Linked DNA regions of Coturnix japonica. Each later gene encodes a partner of the first gene's protein in a complex. Links are inferred from orthologs where the notes say so. Each region holds a gene or a part of one and is shown in the gene's direction. Other genes may lie near its edges. The genes, in order: PPIH, SNRNP40, PRPF3, LSM4, LSM6, PRPF8 and PRPF4.

Region 1 (3,979 bases):
GTAGTACTGTAGAGCTGAGGAGCCTGTAGTGGAACGGGGGACGCCTTCAGGTCCAAGGCTGTATGTTGAAATTGAGGGTCTGACATGCACATCCCCCTTTGAAAGTCTCTGTTGTTCCAGGACTTGAAGAATGCCAACTTCTCTGAACGGCAGCTCCAGAGTAAGGTGTCAGCACCACCTCCCCGTGCCAGGTATTGTGGGTTAAAACAAAAAGGAAGGGGGTGGGTTACTCCTTGCCTGTGGGAAGGCAGGAATTGGGCTCAGCCATGGCCCTGTGCTGCCTCGCAGAGGCGCACCGCGGCTGTGCAGGCGGCAAGGAAACAGATAATGCTTAAAGTGACTGAAGAGCTGAATGTGTTTTTAGTTTCCTACCACGGGAACCACCAGACTCCCTCAGCAGCCTGAAGCCTGTGCTCGATTCCAAGCCTGAAGGAGGAGCTGAGAGCCAGGACTCGTCCTTCTGCTTCTCCCCCTCTCAGCCTTCAGAGATCGGGTACCTGAACGTCGCCTCACCTGGAGACACTGCAACCTCCCAGCTGCAGGAGGAGAGTCAGAGCATCAGCTCCGAGAACATGTAACCTGGGGACGATGTAAAGTGCAGGCTGCCAGGATTCAGGCTCCTGTTGTCATACAAGATTGAAAGAGGGAGTGTTGGCAGATGATAATTGGTGATTTCTGTGGTATCTCAATTATTCAACAGCTGCTTTCTTTAATAATTAACATGGCCAACCTTAAAGGTGTGTGTGTATCTCAGCCCAGAGCTGCAATCTGCAGACAGACAAAGAACGGGGGTGGGATGAGATTTATTTCCCTTCATCTGCACTCCCTGCTTTCCAAGCTTCCTCAATAAAACATGGACCGGTTTCCCTGTGCTGGGCCGTACCGCCGGGTTCCTCCCTTCCCCTCTGCTCTGTGCTGAGACGGGAGCGGCTGCCCCCGTGTGGCTGAAGGAGAGACAGGCAGGAAGCAGTAACGGGATCCGCGGGGCTCCATTCACTCTATGGGGCTCCATTCACTCTATGGGGCTCCATTCACTCTATGGGGCTCCATAGAGCGCTGTGAGCTGCCCGACCCGCTCCCTCCGCTCTACACGCCGTGGCTGCAGGCGGTTCCACAGCCGCCATGTTGTCCCGGCCTCCCCACCCACGTAGATGACGGGATGACGTCACACGCACAATTTCCGCTCGTCAGAGCGTGCGTAGCCCCGCCTCTTTTGCCCCACTTCCGCTTCCGGTTGAGGCCACCATCATGGCGGTGCTGGCGGCCAACCCCAACAACCCGGTGGTGTTCTTCGACGTCACCATCGGCGGGCAGGTGAGCGGCACGACGGATCCGCTTCTCCGGGCCCATCCCCGCCTCATCGGCTTCTACAGGCCGCAGCCGCTCCCCTTCGGGCGGGTTTAGGATCCCCGGCGGTTACGGGAGGAGGAGCGGGGGGAAGAGGCCTGGCTGGGGGGCGGGGGGGTGTGTGGGAGCGGGGTGAGCCGGCCGTGTCTGTGTCTGTATCTGTATCTGTGTGTGTCTATGTCTGTGTCTGTATCTGTGTCTATGTCTGTATCTATATCCATGTGTGTCAATATGTGTGTCTATATCTGTGTTTGTGTCTATGTAGGAGGTTGGCCGCATGAAGATCGAGCTGTTCGCTGACGTGGTGCCCAAAACCGCAGAGAACTTCAGGTGAGGAGCAGCCTCTGTGAGCACGGTACCGTTATATCGTGATATAAACCTCCTGAGCTCGTTACATATCGCAGCTTTCTCAGTATCTCCTCAAAGCTCTGTTGTGAAATGGAAGCGTTGAGTGGTTCCCATTGATTCCTGTTTCATCCCCATTGCAATAACCCAAGTCCTGCACAGCATTCATTGTTGAATGCCGCCTTTGTGCTCTCAAAGTTCAGAAGTGGTTCATACTCGGCTTTTCTCTGCTGTTTCTTTTCCAGGCAGTTTTGTACCGGTGAATTCAGGTATGTGGTTTATCTTCTCCTTTTATCTACCATCCTCAGACAATACTGGGCTGGGAAAGGGCTCACTTGGAAGGTTTCCTTACCTGTGTGAAAAGGGGGGATGCAGATGTCTGTGCTGCAAATTGCAGTGGGATCCTTTTGAGCTGATGAAATGGATGCTGCAAACAGCTGTGGCCATTCAGGGTTTCCCTTGGCCTCTGGTAGTGTGAAATTAAGCTCCAGGATGGGCTGAAGGAGGTGGGTTGGTTTGGTAGGTGATGTATTAGGCCTAATGTACAGGGCGTCCCTTTGGGGGTGTGAGCTCCTGGGAGGGTTTTGTGTTGGGACTTACTGTGAGTTGTAATGATTTTCCTTTTTATTTCCTTGTAGGAAAGATGGCGTCCCCATAGGTTATAAAGGAAGCACATTCCACAGGTGGTACTTCTGCTTTTGTTGAGAGACTCAGTAGCAGTAGGTGGCTTTGGGACCTGCCTCAAGGGCTTCTGCTGTCTGCCCTTTGGGTGCTGTCAGATACTGTTAATGCTCACAGATTGTATATACTGCTCACTGGTCGTATATACTGCTCGCTGGTCGTAGGCTGTAGTGTTTGCAGACATTCACAAGACATTTTTCTCCTGGGAACTAAGTATCATTTTCCTCTTTTAGGGTAATAAAGGATTTCATGATCCAAGGAGGTGACTTTGTAAACGTATGTACTACCACGTTGCTTTTGTCTTTGTCCTGTGCTGTACAGCACACAGCTCATCCTTCCCATGTTTTCTCTCTCTTAGCAGTACGATGGTATAACTGGGGGCTTTTCAAACTTGCAGAGGTTTTCTTTTCACCCTGTTGTCCTTCCTGTTTCTCCCATCCCCCCAGTAAGAGGCAGAGAATCTCCACTGTATGTGTGAGAAGAGATGCTTAAGTACACAAACCAAGCAGCTATTCCAAGGGATAGTACAAATCAAGTCAGGCTTAGTTATTTCAAGTTCACGATGCAAAAGTAAACGCTGTGGCAGACTAATTGCCTCTCTTGTGCAGGGAGATGGCACTGGAGTAGCCAGTATATACAGGGGTCCTTTTGCAGATGAAAACTTCAAGCTGAAGCACTCTGCTCCTGGCCTGCTTTCTATGGTGAGTATAAAATGAAGGCTGATAGCTTTTGGTGTTTCCTCTCTGCACTTTTCCTAACTTTATACATTGTATTTGGCAAACAGTAGGAATCTGCAGTTGGCTGGGGGGTCTGAAAGGCCTGTGTTTTAAGTAGCAGTCAGAAGGTTGCTCGTGAAGTGAGTCCTGATCCTCCAGAATCCTTTCTTCTTACCTGTCAGAGTTCAGGAACACGTTTTATTTGCTCAGCTTCCATAAAGGCTTGAGGATTGCAGATCTGGTACAGTGATGAGTGATGGGTCTTTTTCTTTCCTTATGCCTCTGTTGAACACTGACCTTAGCAAGGAGGAAACAAAGACTGCGGAGTTTCAGAGCCACAGCAGTGTTAGTGTGAAATCTTTTATAACGTTATTTCCCCAGTGTGATGTTGTAGCCAGTAAAGATTTTGTGTACTTGCACACGGTAGCAGGGCCTGACTTGATAATGCACCGTGACCAAGCACAGGTGCTGTCCTGCAAATGTCTGTCTTGTTTCCTTTGGTTTGTAAAGCAGTGAGCTCAATAAAATGTATCCAGGTTAGAGCTAAAGCAGCAGCTCTTTCTGCTGTGAGATGTCTCTGCCTTCAGCTTTGGGAAGTCCTAATTTGTATGCTTTGCATTTTGACAAATTCAACCTGCAGGCAAACAGTGGTCCAAGTACTAATGGGTGTCAGTTCTTCATTACGTGCTCCAAGTGTGACTGGTTGGATGGAAAACATGTTGTGTTCGGTGAGTACCTGCCGTGCAGGCCTGGCATACAGACTCTTACACAGTTTCTGTGGCACAGGGTCAAAAATAAGCAGCTGTGGATTTGCTTGTTCCTTCCCCATCCATTGTGCCAGCAGAGCTATTTGTGCAGCCAGGTATTGAGATGCGTCATTAGGAACATTT
Region 2 (3,500 bases), on another chromosome or scaffold:
AGTTTTACAACACAATGTCTTTTCAGCTGTGGGATATCAGGAAAAAAGCTGCTGTCCAGACATTTCAGAATACTTACCAAGTCTTGGCTGTAACCTTTAATGACACCAGTGATCAGATCATATCTGGGGGCATTGACAACGATATTAAGGTATGATGCTTGTGTCCTTGTGCTTCTTTCCAACCACCTTCACCTTTTCCATCCCATCAAAATTTGCTTTAGCAGCACGCAAAATGCCTTGGTCAAGGACAAATGTGGTTAATTTTACTGTCACGAGAACTGCACTGACCCACAGTGTCTTGATCTAAGGCCAGAAAACTCTGAGATAGTTGTTCCAGGGCTGTCTGCCATGTGACTGGCCATGCATCTTAGCGTCACACACTGCCACTGATATGGTATGCAAGCTCTTCTGGCAGCTGGTGCCCCTCACAGAGGCTCTAGAGCCATATATGTTGTACGCTAAAGAAAATTTGGTGACACATCCATGTTCTCTGACCCTTGCTTCAATAACTTACTTTGTCACCTGCTACTGTGGAAAGTTCTTATTTAAGAGCACGCTCAGTGTTCATTCACTTGGTAGCTGAGATTCTCCAGATAGCTTCACAGTTCAGTCAGCCTTGCTGTCTTTTTGGCCTCAGTCTCCAGTCTTACCTAGGCATGGGGAGCACATACTTGTCAGAGGGCCACCACTAAGCGTAGCACTGAAATGATTTCACTTCTAATTGCCCTTTGAATGGCAGTAACTCATAGAGAAAGAACAGCATGAAATTTTGAAGACTGGATAACTGCTCCTCTGTGCCATGGGTCAGTGGAATTTGGGAGCTGAGGGAGCTAGGCCAGATTGAAAGGAAATCCTGCGTACATCAGCTGCTGAAATTTAACTATTTTCTGCTGATGTGGTTGGACACGTTAGGTAAGAAATGGGGGGGAAAATTTGCCCTTTAGAGGACAACACATAACTTTATAGCCTTATATTTTAGCCATTCAGACCTTACCCAACTGCAAGTGGAAAGTTATTCATCAGATGGCTGATCAGTACTTGCATGAAATTGGAAAGAGCATTGCTAATAGTCTTGTCTGTCCATTCTAAGCCACAATTTTGTCTCTGCTGTCTGAAAGGTGTGGGACCTTCGCCAGAACAAGCTCACGTACACGATGAGAGGACATGCAGACTCAGTGACAGGCCTCAGTTTGAGTTCAGAAGGTTCTTACCTGCTCTCTAACGCAATGGATAACACAGGTATGTCCTGCCAAATGTGACAGCACAGCTGTGCAGACAACTGTCAGCCTCTGCCTTTGAAGAGCTGTGTGTGGTATTTCAGAAGGAGCAGCTGAAATTGGTCAATGTGCTAAAATAGGAGAGTCAGGTGGGCGGAATGCAGGCAGGGTCTGCAGAGAAACCTTCAGTTCTCTTTGTTTGAACCGTGACAGTTACATCCTTTGTAGAGAAGGAGCAGCTGTATCAGAAAGGTTTGTCACGTCTCCCAAAGGGCAATGAGGACATGGGCTGTGGCACAAGTTATTTGCACAGGCAGTTGAACATAATCTTGGTCTGGCTTTTGTCAGAGTGGTTCAGCTGCTTCCCTGCAGCAGGGAATGACAGTGCTGTTTCCAGACTGCTCATCTCCTGCGTATGGGTGCTCAGTGAAGCTGATCTGATTAGAAGTATGATCATGAAGTGTATTAGAATAAAGCAAATGCTCATGTGAGGAGACAGTAGCTCATTTGTGTAGTAGTTGTTTTGGAATTTTCCCCTCCTGTTGGGAGTGGTCTTAATGTAATTATAAATTACTGCATTTTACCTTTCATATCACAGCTTCCTGCAGCGGGAGGCTGTTGGTATCCTTTAGCTAAGGAAACGGGCATGAAAAGAACAAGGAATGCAACCAGATCTTTGATCATTAGCAGCTGACCTTGCCCCTGTAGTTCTGGTATCTCCTGCTAATTACTGTGTGCTCTGTTGCAGTTCGCATCTGGGATGTGCGACCGTTTGCCCCAAAAGAGAGATGTGTGAAGATCTTCCAGGGGAATGTGCATAATTTTGAAAAGGTGAGTGTATTACAGACCTAAACACTCATTTATACAGCGTTGCCACATGAACTTAAAGAACAGTTTACAGGGAAGTTAAAGTTTTAACCAGTGAGACTTTAATAAGGACTCGAAGAAACATTAACGCACAAAGTGAGATTCCAATTAAAGCTGTAGTAACAAAATTTCTTTGTTCACTTTGGCTATAATTAGCTGTAAATGAAGTATTTTCTACACATGTTGTATAAAATAACAAGGCACTGGATGTTTCCAACAATAAAACAAAATCTTTAATTACTTGATGAGAATCTTTTGAAGAGGGATCATTAAAGTAGTGCTCTTGATACTTAAAGTCTCATAGTGATTTTACTTGAACTGGAAGGGAAAAGCTAAATCTTCTTCGGAAATGGAACTGTGCCTATTGTTTTGTTTTGTCTTAGAATCTTCTGAGGTGCTCCTGGTCTCCAGATGGGAGTAAGATAGCAGGGGGATCTGCTGACAGGTGAGTTATCACCGTGTTTCTCTGTTACTGTCAATGCCAAACCATTTTTGCAATCACTGCTGAAATGAGCCTGGATAGTCTCTAAAATGAATATGAAGAGCCAGAGTTGTGCATGGAGGTGTGAAGACCCAAACAACCCCCTGTGGTAATCTGTGAGCATTGTCTGCAGCAATGGTAGCAGAGATGTGTTCATATTGCCTTTGCATCAGCGGAGGAGCACTATATGGTTGTAAAATCCTTATTACTGTTGTCAGAAACCTTCTAGAGAGCTCCATTTCTGCTTGTGTTCAGTCACTGCATCCAACAGATGGACAAGCAGATGACGGGAGCGTAGCTGGCAGCATGCGAGGTCTCTTGCAGTCATAGCAGCAGATTCTTGTGAGACTTCTCCAAAGGCAAAGATTCTGGCAGATTGCTGCAGAGTGCTGCATTTTGTGCTGATAATGACCACCAGAATCAGTCAAAGCTAGCAGGGAGCACCAGTGGCGTTTCGAGGATCGTTTGTGATCCTTACTTAATTAACAGGTGTGAGGAAATTAAGTTCTGACTAAATTAGCACATATCTGACTTATTTAAATGAGAGCTTCTGTAGACTGGATAACCAAAGGGTAAACTGGGCAGAGGGAGGAGGGCAGCAGAGGGTCCCTGCCAGACACTGAAGGTCGCCACGAAGGATACCAACCTGCTGGAGCAGATCCAGGTGCACTCTCAGTGACATGGAGACAGGAATTCCTGCAGGCCGGAGTCCAAGGCATGGAACAGCAGTAATCAGCAAATTAATGAGCTTCTGATAGACGACAGGGAGAGCTTTAGCTCATACTGTGCAGATATAGTGGGGCCAGCTGTCACAGCTGGCAGCTGAGACATGACCCTTCTTTCCAGTCCCACTGGGCTGCAGCAGCAGTGCATGAGGTGATGAATACCTGTTCCTTCATGGCTGGTCCCAGTGTGGGCAGCCTGACACGGTGAAG
Region 3 (4,290 bases), on another chromosome or scaffold:
GATCTATGCAGGGCTCGGCATGGAGGAAAGAAGCTCATTTATTGTGGGGTGGGCGAGCAGGGAGAACAAGAAGTGATAATGAGGTTTGATCTTGTAATGCAAAGCTTCAGCAGGCAGAAGGGGCAGCAAAAGGGGGAGATATAAAGGCTGGATAAAGGACAATTAGAAGCAGAAGGGTCAGTGAAAGGGGGAGATTTATAGGCTGGATAAAGGCCATTAGAAGCAGCTGGGCTGTGTTAGGAAGTGGCCATGAGGGAGGAGAAAGATGTTGACCTGCAGAATCAAACTCTATAATCCAGAGATGGGTTATAAAGCAGGTATGTTTATTCCAGCATTGCGTAGCGCCGGGTGCAAGGGGGATAGCTCCACCAAACATGCACACCGACTTGTAAAATCATGACACAGATCTAGGTACACTTAATACATAGTCAATGATTTCTGATACATATTCAATGATTTCTTAGACTTCTAATACATTGTCAATAGTTCTAGGAATTCTGATACATATTCAATAGCTCTTTAGCATGCAGACCCCCTCTTGTTCTTATCAGGGGGAATGCAACTCCTCATCCGTGAGGTCTCACTCCTTATCTGCATCCTCCCTGCTCTCCCATAGAATCACAGAATGACCGGGGTTGGAAGGGACCTCAAGGATCATGTAGTTCCAACCCCCCTGCCTGGCAGGGCCACNCAAGGATCATGTAGTTCCAACCCCCCTGCCTGGCAGGGCCACCAAACATACACCTTTACTAGATCAGGTTGCCCAGGAGACCCCATAGATCCCCATAGAGACCCCATAGATCAGGTTGCCCAGGGCCCCATCCAACCTGGCCTTGAACACCTCCAAGGACGGGGCATCCACAACCTCCCTGGGCAGCCTGTTCCAGGCTCCCAGGCCCCTTGTTTCTTTTACTTGTTACCTTTAAGTTTCTTTTACTTCTTTCTCTAAACTACCTTTAAGTTTCCTGCTTCACTCTTCAATGTGACTCATGTTCTCCCCCCACAGGATCCTGTCTCAGGATGGCATCGTTGAGTCAGTGAAGCAGGGCCGGTACTACGAGAAGCCGTGTCGCAAGAGGCAGCGCTTGGCTTATGAAGCGTGCAGGCGTGTGTACAACACTGAGATGGCCCGCAAGATCTCCTTCCTCGCCCGCAAGAGTCGCATGGACCCATGGCTGGGCTGCTAACGGGGTTACAGCCGTCTGTCCTCATGGCCGTCTGTCCTTTGGGTGCTGCTGCTGTTAATAAATGCTGTGTGCAGCGCTCTGCTTCGGCCACGCTCGGGTGTTGCGGTTGGGGGTGGGGGGAGAAGCGCTGGGTTTTGGGTTCTGGGTGGCGTTAATGGGCCGGGCTGGTTCCGCTCGCCCCCACGTGGTTATTTCCCGCCACGCGGGGCGCGCCTTTTCCACCGGTTTCCCGCGCTCTCGTGTCACGTGAGCAAAGCGCGCGGCTTCACTTCCTTCCTTCCATTCTTTCCCGGCAGCCCTCAGGCGGGCGGGACGCGCATGCGCAAAAAGATCCCCGCAGCCATTTCCGCTTCCGCCCCGACGTGCCGTCGCCGTCAGGCCCGTTGTCGCCGTCCGGGCCCGGGGCCTGCGGGGGCCGCGCCCCGCCGCGGTGAGAGGCCGCGGGGAGGAGGGGAGGGAGCGGCTGAGGGGAACGGGGGGGGGAAGGACCGTGAAGGAGCGGATCTGAGGGGACTCGGGGCCCGGCCGTGACGCGGGGTTGCGGGGCGAGGCCAGGCCCCTCCGCTTGGGCCCAACGGGAGCGTTGAGTTGATGCGCTTAAACCCGGGGCTGAGGTTGGGGCTGAGGTTCGGGGTTGGGGTTCAATTAACTCATAACGTTAATTAGAGCCGCTAATTGAAGAGGATCCCTTCAGGAGTTGTGGGAGCTGCCGGGGAACCGAAGGGCTGCGGTTGTTGTGGTCTCAGCATCACGTTAACCGTGTTTTGGGAAGCACCGGAGGGATGTTGACAATAGAAGGACACGGGGAAATAGTTTGGAGTTAAAAGAGGGAAGATTTAGGTTGGATGTTGGGGGAAGTTCTTCACTAGGAGAGTGGTGAGGCCCTGGAACAGGCTGCACAGGGAGGTTGTGGATGCCCCGTCCTTGGAGGTGTTCAAGGCCAGGTTGGACGGGGCCATGGGCAACCTGATCTGTGGGGTCTCTATGGGGATCTATAGGGTCTCTGGGGTCTTTATGGGGATCTATGGGGTCTCTATGGGGTCCATAGGGTCTCTGTGGGGTCTCTATGGGGGATCTATGGGGTCTCTGGGGTTTCTATGGGGATCTATGGGGTCTCTGTGGGGATCTATGGAGTCTCCTGGGCAACCTGATCTAGTAACTGTGTGTGTATGGTGGCCCTGCCAGGTAGGGGGTTGGAACTACATGATCCTTGAGGTCCCTTCCAACCCAGGTCATTCTGTGATTCTGTGGGGTTTATGGAGTCTCTATGGGGATCTATTGGGATCTATGGGGTCTTTGGGGTCTCTGTGGGGTTATTGGGGGTTATATGAGGTTATATGGGGTTATGGGGTCTCTATGGGGTTATGGGGTGGATATGGGGCCTCTATGGGGTTAATGGGGTCTATTGTGGGTTGGAACTACATGATCCTTGAGGTCCCTTCCAACCTGGGTCATTCTGTGATTCTATGGAGGGATGAGGGTCAGTGGGTGCCTCCATGTGGGTGTTACCTGCCCGTTTTCTGCTCCTCTTACGCCCTCAAAGTCCCATAGAGCTCCCAGCACCGACGGCTGTAGGAGCGGCCCAATGATACTGATATGGGGGGGGGAGGGAAATACTATTGGAGCGGCTGCTCTTCTTTCTCCGTCCTCGTTAATTGCAGAAGTTGAAGAGGAACGTGAAGTTTAAGCCAAGTGTGAATTAATCCTGTTTAGCCTTTCTGAGCAAGCATGCAGAAAGCTGTAACGCATCAGCAGTGCTGATATGGCATAGTAATCAGTTATCTTGATGCATCTTGACGCTCAATTAACCTCACCTTGAAGTATTACCTGCTTCCAAGCCTGGACTTAATGATGAATTACTGTAATGATGCCCCTTTGGGCTGTATCTGATGCTCCTTTTTAATGTATCTCATTGAAACCTGCTGTAAAAGAATACAGGGCTGCAAGCTGTGTCCAGCCTTCTCCCTATGGATCATTAGGAGCTTCCCAGCTGATGCTTCAGCCCCTTTGCTGCTCTTTCAGATCCTTCTCTTGGCTGTTTTTCAGTCTCTAACTTGAGAAGCTCTTTGTTACCACATCCAGGATCTTTGCTCTCAGCTTTAGTGATGATAAGTGTATTTTGGATGCTGTTTGCTCTCATTTTAAGGTAAAGGCTCCACAAGGTTTCTCCCATGGGCATGAAATGTTGAGGTCAAACATATTTCCTTAAGAAGATTTTCTCCTGTTTCCAGATAAAGGAGACTTGGTTTCCAAATCAGATTAGTGCCTGGCTACGTAATTAAACATTATTGCATCCGCTTCATTGCAGCTTGTGTTAAAGAACTGCTAACGATTAACGGTGGGAAATTATTGTCTTGAGTCTGATTTGGAATTGGATTCAGTAGGAGCCAACAGGGCAGCAGTGCTGATCTGCTGCTTCATTTAAGCAGCAAACACAAAGGTAGTCAGGCATGTGCTGATTGTTAAGTATCAGTAAACCTAAATGAGATTGAGTTCCCCCTGGTCATTATAAGGGAGGCAGCCTAGAGCTGGGAGTGTGCTCGGAGTTGTATGGGAACCTTATGGGAATGGGAAGAACTCGAGGTGATCCAAGTGTGTGTGAGATGTTGCTGTATGTGTTTAAGGTGTTGTTGTACATGAAAAGCTTCTACTTGTGCTCCTGGAAGTGGTTTGTGGGGCATCTCTAAGTGGGCTGGCGTGAGTGTAGCTGACAGCTGATTCAGGCTGTGTTAGCAGGAGAAACCACGGGCTGAAGCAACACCAAGACCAAGCTTTTCTCCTCCTGTGTGTGAGAATCTTAGAATTATAGGTTGGATGTTAGGGGGAAGTTCTTCACTAGGAGAGTGGTTAGGCCCTGGAACAGGCTGCCTAGGGAGGTTGTGGATGCCCCGTCCTTGGAGGTGTTCAAGGCCAGGTTGGACGGGGCCCTGGGCAACCTGATCTGTGGGGTCTCGATGTGGATCTGTGGGGTCTCCTGGGCAACCTGATCTAGTAAATGTGGATGTTTGGTGGCCCTGCCAGGCAGGGGATTGGAACTACATGATCCTTGAGGTCCCTTCCAACCCGGGTCATTCTGTGATTCTGTAATCTGTGTGTGGAAGTG
Region 4 (3,929 bases), on another chromosome or scaffold:
CACTAATGGAAACCTCCCATGTGCTGCCAGCAGAAGGGGAGGGCTGAGGTTACACCGCACACAACAGCAACAGGGCTTTGTACAGCTCAATGGGATCTCAGTATCAACCTGAGCCTCCAAGCGGAACCAGCATCAATATCTCCCCATAATAACCCTCCTGAAGGCTCCCACAGGATCCTAATGCACTTGTTGTTTCTCCATATATAAGCTATAGATGTGAGAGCACCAAACAGGTGTTTCATTGGGATGGTTTCAATATGAATCACACCAGCTTTCCAGGTACCCCAATGTAACCAAAACCTCTCGTTCTGAACCCAACTGAGCTGCCCCCTCACTCATCCTCCACACCGACCCCCAGATCGATTCCTTGCATATCAGATGAGCAACTTTATGGGTAGCACCAAACCCAGCCTCAGCCACCCCACACCCAGCACAGGGTCCTGCCGGGCACACAGCACTGAGCCCACCCTGCAGACCTTCATGGGGTTGCAATGGGGTCTCAGTGCGACCATCAGGGGCAGATCCAGCACCATCAGCTCTGAATGTTTGAAGCAGAGACCACCCCCCAACCCCCCCGGGGCAAGAGATGGGACAAATACAGCGGGGACCGGGGGGGGGGGGTATAACCGGAGGGGTCTGTGACACGCCGCAGCCCCGTCGCGCCCCTCCCAATCCCCGTACACCCCCACCAGGACCCCGACACCCCCATGTGCCCCTCACCGCCCCCTCCCAATCCCGCATCCCCCCCGTTGAGATAATGGAATCAGAGCCCACCCTGCCGTCCCCTCCCCACCCCCCGGTCTCGTTCCATCCGCCCGTACCCGTTACCACCACCGCCCTCCGCGGTTTCTCCATCTCCGCTCCCGCACCGCACTGAGCGACCGGCCCCGCACGGTCATAGAGCGCGCTCCGCCCCGACGCCCAGAGCGGCCCCGCGCGGCCATAGAATACGCGCCGCCCCGAGGACCAGAGCGGCCCCGCGCGACCATAGAGTGCGCGCCGCCTCGCTGCCTAGAGCGCCTCCTGAGCGCCGCTCCGTGCCGCTTCCCGCTCGGCGTTTCAATTTACGGCACTGTCGTGACGCTGTGCACCGCCAACCTCGGCGATGCTTTACGGCCGAGGCGGGTCCTGCACGCTGATTGGCTCCGCGAGGACCGCGCCGAGCTCTGATTGGTCCCGTGTGGGGCCGGGGGTGGTTTGAGCGGCAGCGCCCGGCGCGGCGGCGGCTCCGCGGTTCCGGCACGATGGTGAGTGCGGGAATGGGCCGGGCCGGGCCGGTTCGGTTGTCCCGGTACTCCCTGAGCCCCTACATGGGGATCCGAGGCGGTCCCGGTTCCCGGTTGTTGAGGCCTTTCTCTCTTTCCCCCGCAGCTGCCCCTGTCGTTGCTGAAGACGGCGCAGAACCACCCTATGGTGAGTCCCGGCCCACTCCCGCTGCGGCCTATGGGCCCGGTGCCGCCCCGTCGGGTCCCGTTGGGTCCCCGTGCCGCCCCGTCGGTCCCGGTTCCTTCATGCTGACCCCCCCCCTTTGCTTCTTCCAGCTGGTGGAGCTGAAGAACGGCGAGACGTACAACGGGCACCTGGTGAGCTGCGACAACTGGATGAACATCAACCTGCGGGAGGTCATCTGCACCTCACGGGTAACCAGCTCAATGCCAGGACCCCCATTGCGCCCATAGACCCCCTACTTTGAACAGCATCAAAGCAGATCAGGAATGAGTTGTCCCCATTGCGCCCATAGACCCCCCCCATTGCGCCCATAGACCCCCCATTGCGCCCATAGACCCCACATTGCTATCAGCCCCCAGCCCTGCAGCTGAGTGGGACTCGCAGAGATCCTCACCCTTCTGTGTGTGTTGCTTTTGCTTTGAATGTGAATGTAACGCAGTTATGAGGTGTAAGAAACGAATGAGCCCATTGACAGCAGGGTGAAGGTGCTCAGTGTGAAGGGCTGGTGACAGGTCCTGTCCCATTGCCCGCTCCATGCAGCCCCATCGAGCACAGTGCTGCCTTTCATCATCACCTGCCTCACGCCCTGTAACTCCACATCAAAAGTTATTAGGGCCTCTTGTTTAACCGGGTTGTGCCTCGTCTGCTACTTTTGCCCATGGCCAAAGTGCTCCGAGAAGAGATTGGGATCTGTGCTTTGAGCTCTGACCTCAGCCTCAAGTGTCTGGTCTTGTCCCTGGCAGCCTGTGCCTGGCCACGTTCCTGCTGCTGCTGCTGCTCTCTGTGCCTGGGAACATCACGGGTCTGTGGGGGAGGCTGTCAGGGAAACCCTTCTTCTTCAGGAAGGGTTTCTGTGCCTGTTGGACCCACAGCAGGAAGGTATTGGCCAATAGTGCTGGGGCACGGAGATGTGATGTGTGTACTTAAACAAAGCAAAGGTTTAAGAAGGATCATAACAGCAGAGCAGTGAGCCCTAAAAATCTGGATCCACAGATTGTTGGGGCAGATAAACAGATAAGTTCAATGGGAAGGGGTGGCAAGTGGCAAAGCCTTACTAGTGCTTGCAGAACAAGGGATGCCGGCCTTTAATACTGCTTCCTCATTAAGCAGCTTTGTGTTGCTGTGGGCAGAGCACTTCAGCATTTATACCCACCGAGTGGTCTGCAGTTCACTCCCCACCCCTAAATACCCCCTGGGTGCTACTGGGGGGGTATATATGGAAGCCTTCCTGGTGGCACGGTGGGGATCAGCCACTAGATGGCATGGAGCTGCGGCAGCTGTTTACATGGGGAGCTGGAACGAGGAAGCCGGGGACCTGGCTCCATCCCTTCCTGCATAGAGAGCCAAAGTGCAGCCGGGCGGATCCAGGCAGGGTGGGGTTTGCTGGGTGCCTGTTTGAAGAAGGCTGCTTGTCTCACACACACGGAACTTGCCTGTGCATGCTGCATTGCCCCAAATAACACCGGAGCAGAGGAGGAGGGGGGTACAACTTGATTCTGGAGAGGTGAAACGAGGCATTCTGGTTTCACCCACTCCTCTGGGATGTTGTGGACACTCTGTCCATGTGTGATAGTTGTGAGGAGCCTGTGTTCAGCCAAGCCCTGCAGCAGAGCACGGCCGTGCGCACGAGGTTCCATCCCTCCTCCCGCTTACATCAGTTGTTGTTCAACTTTCACATGCAGTTCCTATTCCCACAGCCACAGGAGCTGAAGCCCTGATGGGCTGTGTCCTAGCAAAGCCCTGAAACTGCCTTAAACAAAACACAGAGGCAGCTGCTCCGTAACTTGGCACCCGAAGGTTTCTTTGAACGTGATCTGTAAGCTCTTATTTTCCACAGCCGCGGTTCCTGTGCGCTGCTGGGCTCACCCCACACCCAGCTGGATGCTCCTCGCTGCTCAATCCACACCACAAAGGGGTTCAGTTTGTAGGTGACTCTGGTTGGGGCTTTATGTGCTGGAACTGCCCCGTGTTGCAGCAGCTGTGTTGAACTTACCACATTTCCCTCTCCAGTCCCACTTTCGATTCTCTTCTTGTATGAGAAGCAAAGGGAAGGTGCTGTTTCCTCTTCTTCCTTCACTTTCTGTGAGAGTCAAAGGCGGTTGTGAACGGGCTGAAACTGCAGTGGCTCATGGCTGAACGCCCCCTGACTCCCCAGCAGGTTGTAGGGCTGCGTGTTTTAAAGGGAAAACAGGAATTTCACAGCTAATTATGGGTTGTACATTCAGAATAGACTATTACATCTGTCGCACGCTTCAGAAGTGATGGAGATATTCAAGTGTCAAAAAGCAACTTAAGTGCACGTGGTTTTGTTCTCAGCTTAACACGTTGCTTCCCAATAGGATGGTGACAAGTTCTGGAGGATGCCAGAGTGTTACATCCGTGGCAGCACAATTAAATACCTTCGGATCCCCGATGAGATAATTGACATGGTGAAAGAAGAGGTGGTCTCCAAAGGCAGAGGCCGTGGTGGGATGCAACAG
Region 5 (4,118 bases), on another chromosome or scaffold:
AAGACTTAGCAATAGTAGACGAGCCCCCAGCTTCCATCATTAAGTTCAGCTGGTAAAGGCCACAGCAACTCTTCATGTTAGAACTTTGTCACCATTTATGTTTGAGGTGAAGAAGCTATAATGGAAACTTTGTGAGCTGCGAAGGACTGAAAACTCCCATTGTAATTTATGACCTTTCATCTGAGGCCAAATGTAAAGGCAATCACAATTGTTCTATATCTCAAGGCTGGCACATAGCAGATGTATGAAGTTTGGAAGTGTTAGACATAAACTTTTATTACCAAATTATAAATAATTTCTACCACTTACAATGTTCACCTTTCAAGTTCATCTTGATTAAAACACACGGGCAGAATGTCACTGATTTCAATGAGTTTTATACAGCTGGAAAAATGCTCTCTGCTTTGTGGAACGATAAAGCAATGCCATATTTTAAAGAATGTACTGATAGCAACGCATGCAAAGTTTTAGACCCAAATCCTTTTTCATCTAGATGACTGAAGCAAAAAGAAGAACCATTAAACAGTGGGTCTCATTTTTTCACACTCGAAGCTTTGAAATCTGCGAGGAGTCTACAGAATGGATTACATAATTCCTTTGAAAACCACCTACCTGAGCACTGGGATTGTGTGACTCAGGAAACAACACATTCTTTAGGTTGTGTATTTACAGTTGTGATTACATTATATAATCTTTGTGAATAAGCAAGAGAGAAATTTTCTTTCCCAATGCAAAACCCACTACACCAACATGCTCAGCAATGTGTCCTATTGCACAGAGGTTCATTTACTCAGTACAGCATGGAAGACTGTTTCAAGGCTTATACAGAAAACCAGGACAAATTTGCTAAGGTGTGGGTTCATGGCTCAGCCTCAAGCCATAGAAGTGGCGAGCTAAGGATACAACGTTGTCCATCTCTATTTCAGTCTTTCGGAATACATATGTTTGTAAATTTAGGACTAAAAAGGAAATTAGAAGGATTTTGTTGACTGGCATCAATGAACCAAGTATCCATAGACAGAAACGATAAAAATAGACAGAAACTATAAAGATAAGTTTAAAACGGACACAGATGAGGTTTTGCAGAGGTCAGGCCACAGCTGGGTGCAGAAGCAGAAAGCTGCTCCCCGTCCTTTGGCAGCAGGTGATCCCATCCAGCTCCTCCCTGCAGCGATAGAGGCGGCGCTACTCAGTGCAGCCACAACCCGCCCCGCTTTAGCGAGCGCGCCCGTCCCGCCGTGTCCCTGCCGCCGCGCCGTACCGCCCGCCGCTGATTGGCCGCGAACGCGGGGCCGGGCGCGCGTAGCAGCGGGTGAGTGTGAGCGGCGTTGTGTCTCGGCCCGGCCGCAATGGGGCACCGGGCGGCGGGGTGCGGGCCGGGCTGTGCCTCGGTGCGGGGAGCGGTGCGGAGGGACCTTTAAGCCCATCCACTTCCAGCCCCCTGCTGTAGGCAGGGACGCCTCCCTCTAAACCGGGTTGTTCGCATCCCCATCCAGCCTGGCCTTCAATGCCTGCAGGGTGGGATGTGCTGCTTATCCATATATCGGCTTTCACATCTATTCCCAGCGTACCGACACAAATCAAGATGAGCCTACGGAAGCAAACTCCCAGTGACTTCCTAAAGCAGATCATTGGAAGGCCTGTTGTTGTAAAGTTAAATTCTGGAGTCGATTATCGAGGTAAGATTCCACCTTGTCTGTGCAGTGAGATGTCCTGCTCCCTTTAGGCTGAGCCTCTCCAATAGCTCAGCCTCTACAATTATTTCTTTATCTCAGTCTTCGTTAAGTTTGGATGCTCTTATCATGCCTCTCCCATGAGGAGACAGGTGTTTTATTCTGGGATGATTTAAACGTTATGATCATGCCAGACATCGCTACTTCAGGTAGGTTTAATTCAGTTGGCTCATCTTAGTGCTCGTTTGTCCTTTGACAAGGAATCTTGGTGTTTGGACACCAGCCCAATGTCATACAGGAGTTATTTTCCTTTCTTTGTTTCCCTCCATTCTCCCTAACTCCCTCCTGGTGCTTACATTTGAGAAATGCACACTTCATTTCTCTACAGAAATTCGATCACTTGTATAAACCAAACATCAGGAAACCCAGCATCTCAGGCTTTTGTTGCAGATCTCTTCAGATTCTGCCTGTAGGCTACCCTTCTCATTTTATGTTTGCACCTCCACCCTCCCAGCCACTGTGAGCACAGCAGCTGCCTGGTTCTCACGTTGGTGTGCAGCTGTAAAATGTCTTGGTTCACTGCCAAGCGCTGTACTCATCTAAGAAGTCCTGGCAAAGTGCACGTGTAATCAGTTGTACAGATGGATATGAATGTAAAAACATTGCTGCATACTGATAAAAAACAGGCAAAATATGAGCCAGGGTGGGCAGCAACAGTATGTGATGCTATTAGTATTCTGGGAGTAAATACAAAGAAAAGAAAGACAACAATGAAAGAAATGAAGATGCACCCTGGCCAGTTGAGTGATAGCTTAAAAAAAAACCCCACAGCCCAACTTCAGCTTGGGGCAAACATTTGTTTTCTGTGGCATCTTGAAGCACTCAGGATTACTGGTGTGAAAATGTTGTCACTGACTTGGCTTGGAAGGTTTTGGTGTATTTAAAACACTTTGTGGCCAGACAGAATTTCCCCATTTATGTGGAAACAGGGATGAAAAACACATACAGGAAAATACCAATCCTCAAGCCATTACAAGTTGGCAAGAAAACTTGAATTCCTAATTATTTAATGGAGGATATTACAGTAACGCTTCTGGAAAATGAGAACATACCCTGGAGGAAGATTCTCAGACTGGAGTTCTCCCCCTCCTCAAATACAGCCAATGTACTGCATGTCTTCAGTTTTAATAGCAGGTAAATTAGATTCTTGTCCATTTTGGTAGTTGTATTTTTAATAGTGGTGTCTGTGTGCAAGGAGGAAGTCAGGAAACACACACAAACAAGATGGAGATGAGCAGCTTGTTAGAAGTTGTTTTATGTATGCAATTAGCAAATTGCATTGTGTACGTATTGCATTTTCTGAGCAGTTCTTCACATCCGTTAATCCCCACATTTAGTTCACTATGTAAATGTTCTGTTTGTACATCACTTAAATTTGGCTGAAGATTTCAGTGTCATATGAAAACCCTTTCCCCGTTGAAGATGTAGAATTGATTTACACAGAAATCACGCTGGCAGCCCATGTTATTCTGTCTATAAGAATGAAAATCACAGAATCACAGAATTGTAGGGGTTGGAAGGGACCTGTAGAGATCATCGAGTCCAACCCCCTGCCAAAGCAGGCTCCCTACACCACGTCACACAGGTAGGCGTCCAGGCGGGTCTTGAATATCTCCAGAGAAGGAGACTCCACAAGCTCCGTGGGCAGCCTGTTCCAGTGCTCTGTCACCCTCACCGTAAACAAATTCTTGTGCACATCCGTGCAGAACTTCCTGTGCTCCAGTTTCTGGAAAATAAATCAGAAAAATGTGCGTGGTGTCCTGTATTAGAAGGGTTATTTCTCACATATATCCTTGATGAGCTTTGGTCAAAACTCAGCTTGTAGCCTTGTTCTTAGGCTGCCCAGTTACACTTTATGTCACAGGTTCTTCTCAGGAGTTGGGCATAAAACAAAAGTAAAAAGCAACAACTAAACTTTCAGAATGGAAGATGTTCTCTTTCAAAGTCACGTCTCAGTGAGTTCTCCCCACCCAGTCATGTACAGGACCTGGAGTTCCCTACTCTCAGTTTAGTTCCTTTAATGCTCTCTGGGCTGCTGACTGACTCACCTGACCACATTTGGAAGTTTAGTTTGCTATGAAGATACAATTTTTTTCCTTGTACTGTTCAAATGCAAAGCCGTTTTGTTTAGTTCAGAAATAAGCTAAAGTTGATTCACTTTTAAACTATCACTCTCTTTAGGTGTCCTGGCTTGCCTGGATGGCTATATGAATATAGCTCTGGAACAGACAGAAGAATACGTAAATGGACAGTTAAAGAACAAGTATGGGGATGCATTTATCCGAGGAAATAATGGTAACTCCTCCTTCTTGTGCTGTATGTACTTTTTACAGCGCTTCTTTTCAGTGCCTGTGCTTTTCCTCAGACCTGGATGAGTTCTGTTCA
Region 6 (3,500 bases), on another chromosome or scaffold:
CTTGAAGGTACTTCTGTCTTGCCTGAGGTTGCCCAAGCTGGTGCTGTTTCCACAGGCAAACTTTCACTGACTAATCATGGTGTTGTGGTTGTGCAGGATGGGCCTTACATCACTGCAGAAGAGGCCGTTGCCGTGTACACAACCACAGTGCACTGGTTGGAAAGCAGGAGGTTCTCACCCATTCCATTCCCCCCACTGTCCTACAAACACGATACCAAGTTGCTCATACTGGCCCTGGAGAGGCTGAAGGAAGCTTATAGGTAAGCACAGGGAAGTGACGAGTTTCTCTCAAGGGTCAGATATCTGCTCTGGGAAAGGCTTCTGAAACTGTTTTGTTATCCGTTATTCCTGGAACTGAGTGCACCATACCATTTACCTGGAGTGGGGCAGGTTGAGGCTGTAGGATGTGGTACTGCCAAGGCAGCCTGGGCATTCTTTCATGGACTCTGCCAATTGGGGCTGGATGTGAATTGTGAAGAATAGGAGATCTTGTCTTGATCTGCTCAGTTGAGCACTTATCTTTCATAAATTCACTGCAGCAGATTTTAGTTTGTTCATTCTTGAGTGCACAAACTGTTGTTCTTTCTCACTTTCAGTGTGAAATCTCGCCTGAATCAGTCACAGAGGGAGGAGCTGGGCTTGATTGAACAGGCTTATGATAATCCTCATGAAGCTCTGTCCAGAATCAAACGACACCTTTTAACTCAGAGAGCCTTCAAGGAGGTGAGTATTGTGGTGAAAACCAGAGCATACATAAAACTTACAGAATACGGGTACAAAATGGCAGCAAGATTATCAAGAGTGTTCTCTGTCAGGTGTAGACTTCAGATTTACCTTCTCTTTTCTAGGTTGGCATTGAGTTCATGGATCTCTACAGCCACCTGGTTCCTGTTTATGATGTTGAGCCCTTGGAGAAAATCACAGATGCTTATCTGGATCAGTACTTGTGGTATGAGGCTGATAAAAGAAGACTCTTCCCTCCGTGGATCAAGCCTGCTGACACTGAACCTCCTCCACTGTTAGTGTACAAGTGGTGCCAAGGTTAGTGGGGTCTTGTGTTCCATGGTAGAATGAGTATTTTTATCAGGAGCTATTTTTATAAGGATCCACTTAAAAGCTGGATTTTCATACTTGCAGCAGTAATACCATTTGTTGCTACACTCTGAGGCTGTATTTTGTAGGTTAACACTGGAAGAAGAGAAGTTCTGTAACATTTGTGATTGATTACATATTTCTGTTCCAATTTCTGGGTAGACTGGAAGGAAAAATGGGGCTGAAAAACACTACAGAAAATATACTGACTTCTCAAACCTGGAAGGGTGCTTCTGCACTCAGAATTGCCACATCACATAATGTGACACAGTTGTTTGTCTCCTCAGGCATTAATAATCTGCAGGATGTTTGGGAAACAAGTGAAGGTGAATGCAATGTGATGCTGGAATCTCGATTTGAGAAGATGTATGAGAAGATTGACCTGACGTTACTCAACAGGCTGCTGCGTCTTATTGTCGATCACAACATTGCTGACTACATGACAGCAAAAAACAACGTGGTGATCAACTACAAGGTGATGATTACTATCAGAAAAGTGTGTGGACTGTATAACTGAGTGGGGGTTGGCGGTGGTGGTGAAGGTGGAACTGGGACACAAGACTTGCTGGGGGAAGAGGTGATTAGGGGAGTAAGAAAACCCTTCTGGGCCCTGTTGAAAAGCAGATGCTCAGATAAAGGTTTTTGGGGGATTGTGAGAGCCAGGTTTCTCACACTTCTTTTTCCTCAGGACATGAATCACACAAACTCCTATGGGATTATTCGTGGACTGCAGTTTGCTTCCTTCATTGTCCAGTATTATGGGCTTGTGATGGACCTGCTGGTGCTGGGTCTGCACCGTGCCAGTGAAATGGCTGGGCCTCCCCAGATGCCAAATGATTTCCTCAGCTTCCAAGACATTGCAACTGAGGTGGCCCATCCCATTCGCCTTTTCTGCAGATACATTGACCGCATTCACATCTTCTTCAGGTGAGAGCTCACTGGGTCCTTTATCTGTGTGGGCAGTCCATCTGAGAATGATGTTTATGTCACCACAGACCCTCTTCTGTTCATTTCCAGGTTTACAGCAGATGAGGCAAGGGACTTGATTCAGCGGTACCTGACAGAGCATCCAGATCCCAACAACGAGAATATTGTGGGCTACAACAATAAGAAGTGCTGGCCTCGGGATGCTCGGATGCGCCTCATGAAGCATGATGTCAACCTGTAAGCGATGCAGCCTTAGAAACACAAGGGGTAGAGAAGTGTGAAAATTAGTTGTGATAAATAAGTAAAGAGGAGTTTTGTGTCATAGTGTTGACAGAGAGTGATTGGTGTGAGAGACCATAGTGCTGAGAAAGCACTGAGAGCTTGTCCAGTTTGTATTTCACTTTAATTTCAAGGCCTGGCCTCACTGTGCATGCCTTCTGTTTCAGTGGCCGTGCTGTATTCTGGGATATCAAGAACCGCCTGCCTCGATCCGTCACCACAGTGCAGTGGGAGAACAGCTTCGTGTCTGTTTACAGCAAGGATAACCCCAATTTGCTGTTTAACATGTGTGGTTTTGAGTGCCGCATTTTGCCCAAATGCCGCACCAGCTATGAGGAGTTCACCCACAAGGATGGTGTCTGGAACCTGCAGAATGAGGTAGTTTGGCAGGCTGGGAAGGCAGTCGATTCTGTTGTCTGTAGCTGGCATTAGAGCAAAGCTTGTACCTTTTTTGTGGGGAGTACTTGGCAGCATGCATTTGGCAGCTGTGTGCCTGGAAGCATTGACAGGTAGAACTAAAAAGAATTCAGGAGCTTTCTTTCCTGCAAGGGATGGGAAATCCTTTGGGAGTGATAAGGGAGGACCCAGAACTGTTCAGGCTCTTCCCTTCCTGTGCTTTGTAAGTGACCCGTAGCCCTGTGCTCTCGCAGGTCACCAAGGAGCGCACAGCTCAGTGCTTCCTGCGCGTTGACGATGAGTCTATGCAGAGATTCCATAACAGAGTGAGGCAGATCCTCATGGCGTCTGGCTCGACAACCTTCACTAAGGTAAGGCAGAAGTGAGCTGTGTGACAGAGCTTCCTGCAGATGCTTGAAGAACGAGCTGAGAACTGATCCCGTGCCTTCCTTTTTAGATTGTCAATAAATGGAATACAGCTCTGATTGGCCTGATGACATATTTCCGGGAAGCTGTTGTAAATACTCAGGAGCTGCTTGACTTGTTGGTGAAATGTGAGAATAAAATCCAGACTCGAATCAAAATTGGTCTGAATTCCAAAATGCCCAGTCGTTTCCCACCCGTGGTATTCTACACCCCTAAAGAGCTGGGAGGTCTGGGTATGCTCTCTATGGGACATGTTCTCATCCCACAGTCTGACCTGAGGTGAGTAATATTGCCTGATCTGAACTGCCCACATGATTTAGGGGCTCTGTTAGATATTCTTTCCCATTGAAGTATTTAGGAATGCTAAACCACAACTTGCT
Region 7 (4,225 bases), on another chromosome or scaffold:
TACCTCTGACTATCTCTAAAATAAAACTTCTGCTTGACTTGATCTTCTTGCTATCAGTGAAGCTTTTTAGCCACCTTTCCTTTTGCATTCAAGTGCCCAGACTTGAATTCTGACTGTTCCAATCAGAGAAGGATAAGTTGGAACTATGCAGTAGCTGCGGCTTTTATAACATAAGTTCAGTCCTGCTTGCTTTTCTGCATCACTGTATGTGCATCCTCCCTTGAAATCATCTCTTTTGAGGGTTAGTAACTGTTGACAGTCCTGAGGAGCCTCCCTGTGCCCCAGCCTCCCTCCTGCCCACCTGATGCTGTTTGCTTCCCCAGTCTGAGCAAAACCTGCCCACTGTGATACCGACTTGCACTTAGTGCGTTGGATGTTGGATGCCATCCTGGCCTTTATGCTGGCTGTATTTCAAGCTGTCCCAGTGTTAACACTAAACTTGTGTTGAGTGGTGCTTAGAGGGAGGTGAGGACTCTAATATTAGATTATTAGACTTGAGTAAATGAAGTTCACGTGTCAGCATATGTAGCATGCTTAGAATGTGATCGCTGTGTCTGTGAGTGCACCCTGATACTTTGTCTTTACATGTCTGTAGGAAGCACAGTGTATCCAGGCTGTGTTCATCCCTGAGCTTCTGTTATTTCCCCCAGTGCCTTCTCAGTTGGTCTGCAGCCCCAGCAGACCCAAAAGGACGGATAGTTTTGTTTACAGCAGACTGTCACTTTTGATTTTCCTCTTGCTCTTTGTGAAGGTAACTTATCTAGTAACGTATCAAAGATCTCCTGTATATAATTAACTAATAAAGCAGATGCATTTTACTGTGGCTGTGTGCTTTAAAAACAACCGTCAATGCTGCAGCTGTGCTGAGTGAAGGCTTTTACTTCCCCGTGCAACCAAAGGAGACCCAGGAGCTGGTGTCGGTTTGTAAAAAAGCCCATTTATTAAAACAGCCTCGTGTGGCTCCGTTCGGTACCGGGAGCAGCGGCACCGTCAGAACTCGAACGTGCCGAAGTGCGCGGCTCGGACCCCGGCCTTGTGCTGCGGTTTGTACCCGATGCGGTCGTTGATGAGCTGCTCCCGGCTCTTGTGCTCGGCTCCCAGCGCGATGCCCGCCGCCTCCTCGCCGCCCGCCACGTCCGCCTCGTCCCGCTGCTTCTTGCGGCTCTGCGGGGCGGGGGGGCCGAGTCAGGGCCCCGGTGCCCGGGACAACCCCCGACCCCTGCCGGTCCTTCCCCTTCCGTCCCCGCGCACCTCCAGGTCCTTCCGGACTCCCTCGAACTCCTCGATATCGTCCAGTTTCAGCTCCAACCTCGTTGGTTTCCGTCGCAGCATCGCTTCCGCCGCCTCCCGGCCCCTTCCGCTCTGTCACGCACCGCCCGCCCCTTCCGGTTTACCCGGTGTGACCCGCCGCTTCCTGTCCGTCACCGGAAGTGCTCCGTTAGGCCGTCGGGCAGCGCAGTGATGGCGGCCGTGCGGGCACCGGTGGCTCGAGGCGGGGCGCGGCCTGCGGCTGTGAGGGGCCCCGCACCGCCTGAGGTACGGGAGGAGATGGGAAGGAACGGAGCTGGGAGGGCTGTGACGGGTCGGGCTGTGACCGGTAGCGCTGCGGCTTTGGGGTGTTATCACAAGATCCTGTGGTTTCCGTGCCGTGTCCGTTATGAGGTCAGCTCTGCACTCAGCACACACGGATTCCTATCGGTTCTGTCTTTCCTTTGCAGCCCACGAAGAACAAACCGTCCGAGGATGGCGATGCTCCCCCCGCCAAGAGGGCGCCCATCTTCTATGGCAGCCTGGAGGAGAAGGAGCGGGAGCGGCTGGCCAAGGGGGAGCCCGGGCTGCTGGGGAAGGAGGGAATGAAGGCGGCCCTGGAGGCCGGGAACATCAACATCAGCAGCGGTGAGAGCACAGCAGCATGGGGTGGCCTTTATTTAGTGTAATCGAAAGTCACTCCAATAATATCTGAGCATACATTAGGTTTGATAAGGGGAGGCTTTTCCCTGGGTTGCCAGCTCTCTGTTGGGATCTTCCTGTTGGAGGAGGATCTCCTGTCCAGCTCCTGTGTCCAGGCTGATGGTTTTGCTTTGGTGCAGGTGAGGTCTTTGATCTGGAGGATCACATGAGTGAGCGACAGGCCGAAGTCTTGGCTGAGTTTGAGCGCAGGAAGCGAGCCCGGCAAATCAACGTCTCCACGGATGACTCTGAAGTGAAGGCCTGTCTGCGAGCCCTCGGGGAGCCCATCACGCTCTTTGGAGAAGGTCCCGCAGAGAGGAGGGAGAGGTGCTGTGTCTGCCCTTGTGTGTTGCAAAGAGGGAACGCTCAGCTTCCCCCACTTTATCATATTCCCACTGTTTTCCTTGTAGTTGGCGTGCAGCGAGTGCTGCCGGTCTGTGTTTGGTTACAACATAACAAGAAAGAATGGAACACAATGAGTGTTTGTCCACCAAGTGAACGTAACCTAACGTGTTTCCTTTCAGGTTAAGAAATATCCTCTCAGTGGTCGGCACAGATGCATTAAAAAAGACAAGGAAAGATGACGACAGGTCGAAAAAGTCTAAAGAAGAGGTAATGATTTCTCAGTGCCGGAGGAGATTTATACAGTCATCTTTGAATACCTTATTTTGGTGGTCTCTGAGACATTCAAGACCTGGTTGTGGTCAGGGTGCAAATTCTAAAATCATCCCTTTCTTTTTCTTTGTTGCCCATTTTAGCAGAACTGTCAATGCACTGTTTAAATCGGCAGCATTAAGCTTTTTTTTGGCTTTGTTCTTTTCCTTACAGTATCAACAGACTTGGTACCATGAAGGACCACGGAGTCTGAAAACAGCAAGGCTGTGGCTTGCTAACTACTCGCTTCCCAGGTAAGGAAAACTAACATCAATGAAGGGGAGAAGTGCAACATTTTGTAAACTCTTAACTACTAACCACATTGTGGGTAGTGTAGTAAATTTGAGATCAAAAGAATGAAGAACATGTTCCGGTAGACAAATCTGTTAGCCCAGTAATGGGGAAGTGAGGGTTTCTAGCAGCAAGGCATGGGAAATGTGAACATCTGGTACTTGATCTTTGTTCTTCACAGGGCAGCGAAGCGTCTGGAAGAAGCCCGGCTGCTCAAAGAGATTCCAGAGGCAACCAGGACATCGCAGAGACAAGAACTGCACAAATCCCTACGAGTAGGTTTGCCATCTGTTCAACTGCTGCTTGTGAACGTTTTTTCTTGAATTTCAAAGAGATCAGAAGGATCGAGCTGCCTGGAGGGGCTGTCCAGATGTGTGTAATTTGCTGTGCTGCGCCTTGAAGAGCTTTGCATTTTCTCTCTCTTCTAGTGGTACTCGTGTTCTAGCTCTGTTTCTGCAGTTGTACAGAGAAATCTGCTTTTGTTGTATTCTAGCACTGCAGAGGGATGCAGAGACACATCCCTGTGTTGATTTGCCTCTTACCTTTGAAGCTAAACAGATTGCTTCTTTTCAGTCAAAGCTTGAGTTGCAAAGCAGGGCATCAGTATGATTGGTGGCAAGTATGGTGGGTGGCATACTGAGTGCTAAGCTGAGCCATGGAGCTGTGCTAGTTTCTCTTAGTCAGATAAACTCCATAATCCTCCTGCTTGGGGCTAGAGTAGCTCTGAGGTAACATCTCTCTTTGGAAGTGATTTCCCTGTGGTCTCTGACTTCTGCTTCAGTCACTGGCCAGGACTGTCCCTAAGTCATTTGTATTTATTCATTGTTTTCTCTGTATTTTGTTGCAGTCCTTGAATAACTTCTGTAGTCAGATTGGGGACGATCGCCCGCTGTCCTACTGCCACTTCAGTCCCAATTCCAAACTCTTGGCTACTGCCTGTTGGTAAGTTCTCTTCAAAGCATTTACTTTAGGGCATGGTGTCCAGTCTTTTGGCTTGCCTGGTCCGCACTGAGTGTTTCGTCTCTATAAACATTCAGGAATGTCGATGAATGTCAGCAGGTGCCATTTTGTCCTCAAGGAGGAATTCAGTGACACACCTTTTGCTCCATGTGTGTTTCCATGTCAGATGCTGTTTTGTCAGACTGCCACTTTCCCACTGCAGAAGCCCTTGGTGTAGTTTGTTTGATAAGCTGTTTGATGTTCCTGTCTACACTGACTTCTGTTTCTTGTGTTCAACAGGAGTGGACTGTGCAAGCTGTGGTCTGTGCCTGACTGTAACCTTGTTCACACCTTACGAGGTAAAGAATGACTTTCACTGATATCCTGTGTA

Evidence for each region.
Region 2: PPIH (region 1) and SNRNP40 share a complex: the UniProt entries of both Homo sapiens proteins name them as parts of the U4/U6-U5 tri-snRNP complex. The link is inferred for Coturnix japonica from reciprocal best matches to the Homo sapiens genes PPIH and SNRNP40.
Region 3: PPIH (region 1) and PRPF3 share a complex: the UniProt entries of both Homo sapiens proteins name them as parts of the U4/U6-U5 tri-snRNP complex. The link is inferred for Coturnix japonica from reciprocal best matches to the Homo sapiens genes PPIH and PRPF3.
Region 4: PPIH (region 1) and LSM4 share a complex: the UniProt entries of both Homo sapiens proteins name them as parts of the U4/U6-U5 tri-snRNP complex. The link is inferred for Coturnix japonica from reciprocal best matches to the Homo sapiens genes PPIH and LSM4.
Region 5: PPIH (region 1) and LSM6 share a complex: the UniProt entries of both Homo sapiens proteins name them as parts of the U4/U6-U5 tri-snRNP complex. The link is inferred for Coturnix japonica from reciprocal best matches to the Homo sapiens genes PPIH and LSM6.
Region 6: PPIH (region 1) and PRPF8 share a complex: the UniProt entries of both Homo sapiens proteins name them as parts of the U4/U6-U5 tri-snRNP complex. The link is inferred for Coturnix japonica from reciprocal best matches to the Homo sapiens genes PPIH and PRPF8.
Region 7: the proteins of PPIH (region 1) and PRPF4 are in contact, whole or in part, in a crystal structure (PDB 1MZW), measured with the Homo sapiens proteins. The link is inferred for Coturnix japonica from reciprocal best matches to the Homo sapiens genes PPIH and PRPF4. Residues at the interface, in NP_006338.1 of Homo sapiens: Phe14, Arg26, Phe46, Cys47, Thr48, Gly49, Pro57, Ile58, Gly59, Tyr60, Lys61, Gln173, Cys174, Gly175, Glu176, Met177; in NP_004688.2 of Homo sapiens: Arg113, Gly116, Glu117, Pro118, Ile119, Thr120, Leu121, Phe122, Gly123, Glu124.

What each region holds. Positions count from the first base shown.
Region 1 is NC_029536.1:5,567,302-5,571,280, reverse strand, and holds the start of PPIH (peptidyl-prolyl cis-trans isomerase H), read left to right. Parts: upstream 1-1,179; 5' UTR 1,180-1,248; coding exon 1,249-1,314; intron 1,315-1,612; coding exon 1,613-1,677; intron 1,678-1,937; coding exon 1,938-1,961; intron 1,962-2,330; coding exon 2,331-2,375; intron 2,376-2,606; coding exon 2,607-2,649; intron 2,650-2,981; coding exon 2,982-3,074; intron 3,075-3,729; coding exon 3,730-3,817; intron 3,818-3,979. Other genes in the region: CCDC30 (coiled-coil domain-containing protein 30), read left to right, coding at 121-191, 365-578. UniProt on the Homo sapiens protein: PPIase that catalyzes the cis-trans isomerization of proline imidic peptide bonds in oligopeptides and may therefore assist protein folding. Participates in pre-mRNA splicing.
Region 2 is NC_029538.1:602,876-606,375, reverse strand, and holds part of SNRNP40 (U5 small nuclear ribonucleoprotein 40 kDa protein), read left to right. Parts: intron 1-26; coding exon 27-149; intron 150-1,118; coding exon 1,119-1,239; intron 1,240-1,965; coding exon 1,966-2,048; intron 2,049-2,467; coding exon 2,468-2,529; intron 2,530-3,500. UniProt on the Homo sapiens protein: Required for pre-mRNA splicing as component of the activated spliceosome. Component of the U5 small nuclear ribonucleoprotein (snRNP) complex and the U4/U6-U5 tri-snRNP complex, building blocks of the spliceosome.
Region 3 is NC_029540.1:1,894,025-1,898,314, reverse strand, and holds the start of PRPF3 (U4/U6 small nuclear ribonucleoprotein Prp3), read left to right. Parts: upstream 1-1,490; 5' UTR 1,491-1,617; intron 1,618-4,290. Other genes in the region: MRPS21 (28S ribosomal protein S21, mitochondrial), read left to right, coding at 1,007-1,187. UniProt on the Homo sapiens protein: Plays a role in pre-mRNA splicing as component of the U4/U6-U5 tri-snRNP complex that is involved in spliceosome assembly, and as component of the precatalytic spliceosome (spliceosome B complex).
Region 4 is NC_029543.1:3,006,058-3,009,986, forward strand, and holds the start of LSM4 (U6 snRNA-associated Sm-like protein LSm4), read left to right. Parts: upstream 1-1,129; 5' UTR 1,130-1,244; coding exon 1,245-1,247; intron 1,248-1,371; coding exon 1,372-1,413; intron 1,414-1,541; coding exon 1,542-1,640; intron 1,641-3,788; coding exon 3,789-3,929. Other genes in the region: PGPEP1 (pyroglutamyl-peptidase 1), read right to left, coding at 822-855. UniProt on the Homo sapiens protein: Plays a role in pre-mRNA splicing as component of the U4/U6-U5 tri-snRNP complex that is involved in spliceosome assembly, and as component of the precatalytic spliceosome (spliceosome B complex).
Region 5 is NC_029519.1:27,572,517-27,576,634, forward strand, and holds the start of LSM6 (U6 snRNA-associated Sm-like protein LSm6), read left to right. Parts: upstream 1-1,318; 5' UTR 1,319-1,507; coding exon 1,508-1,679; intron 1,680-3,914; coding exon 3,915-4,028; intron 4,029-4,118. UniProt on the Homo sapiens protein: Plays a role in pre-mRNA splicing as component of the U4/U6-U5 tri-snRNP complex that is involved in spliceosome assembly, and as component of the precatalytic spliceosome (spliceosome B complex).
Region 6 is NC_029534.1:4,149,342-4,152,841, reverse strand, and holds part of PRPF8 (pre-mRNA-processing-splicing factor 8), read left to right. Parts: coding exon 1-7; intron 8-96; coding exon 97-260; intron 261-596; coding exon 597-723; intron 724-848; coding exon 849-1,041; intron 1,042-1,379; coding exon 1,380-1,567; intron 1,568-1,780; coding exon 1,781-2,019; intron 2,020-2,109; coding exon 2,110-2,256; intron 2,257-2,465; coding exon 2,466-2,676; intron 2,677-2,948; coding exon 2,949-3,065; intron 3,066-3,151; coding exon 3,152-3,399; intron 3,400-3,500. UniProt on the Homo sapiens protein: Plays a role in pre-mRNA splicing as core component of precatalytic, catalytic and postcatalytic spliceosomal complexes, both of the predominant U2-type spliceosome and the minor U12-type spliceosome.
Region 7 is NC_029532.1:813,639-817,863, reverse strand, and holds the start of PRPF4 (U4/U6 small nuclear ribonucleoprotein Prp4), read left to right. Parts: upstream 1-1,425; 5' UTR 1,426-1,461; coding exon 1,462-1,536; intron 1,537-1,718; coding exon 1,719-1,896; intron 1,897-2,090; coding exon 2,091-2,277; intron 2,278-2,474; coding exon 2,475-2,562; intron 2,563-2,778; coding exon 2,779-2,858; intron 2,859-3,076; coding exon 3,077-3,170; intron 3,171-3,742; coding exon 3,743-3,837; intron 3,838-4,134; coding exon 4,135-4,193; intron 4,194-4,225. Other genes in the region: anaphase-promoting complex subunit CDC26, read right to left, coding at 991-1,164, 1,252-1,332. UniProt on the Homo sapiens protein: Plays a role in pre-mRNA splicing as component of the U4/U6-U5 tri-snRNP complex that is involved in spliceosome assembly, and as component of the precatalytic spliceosome (spliceosome B complex).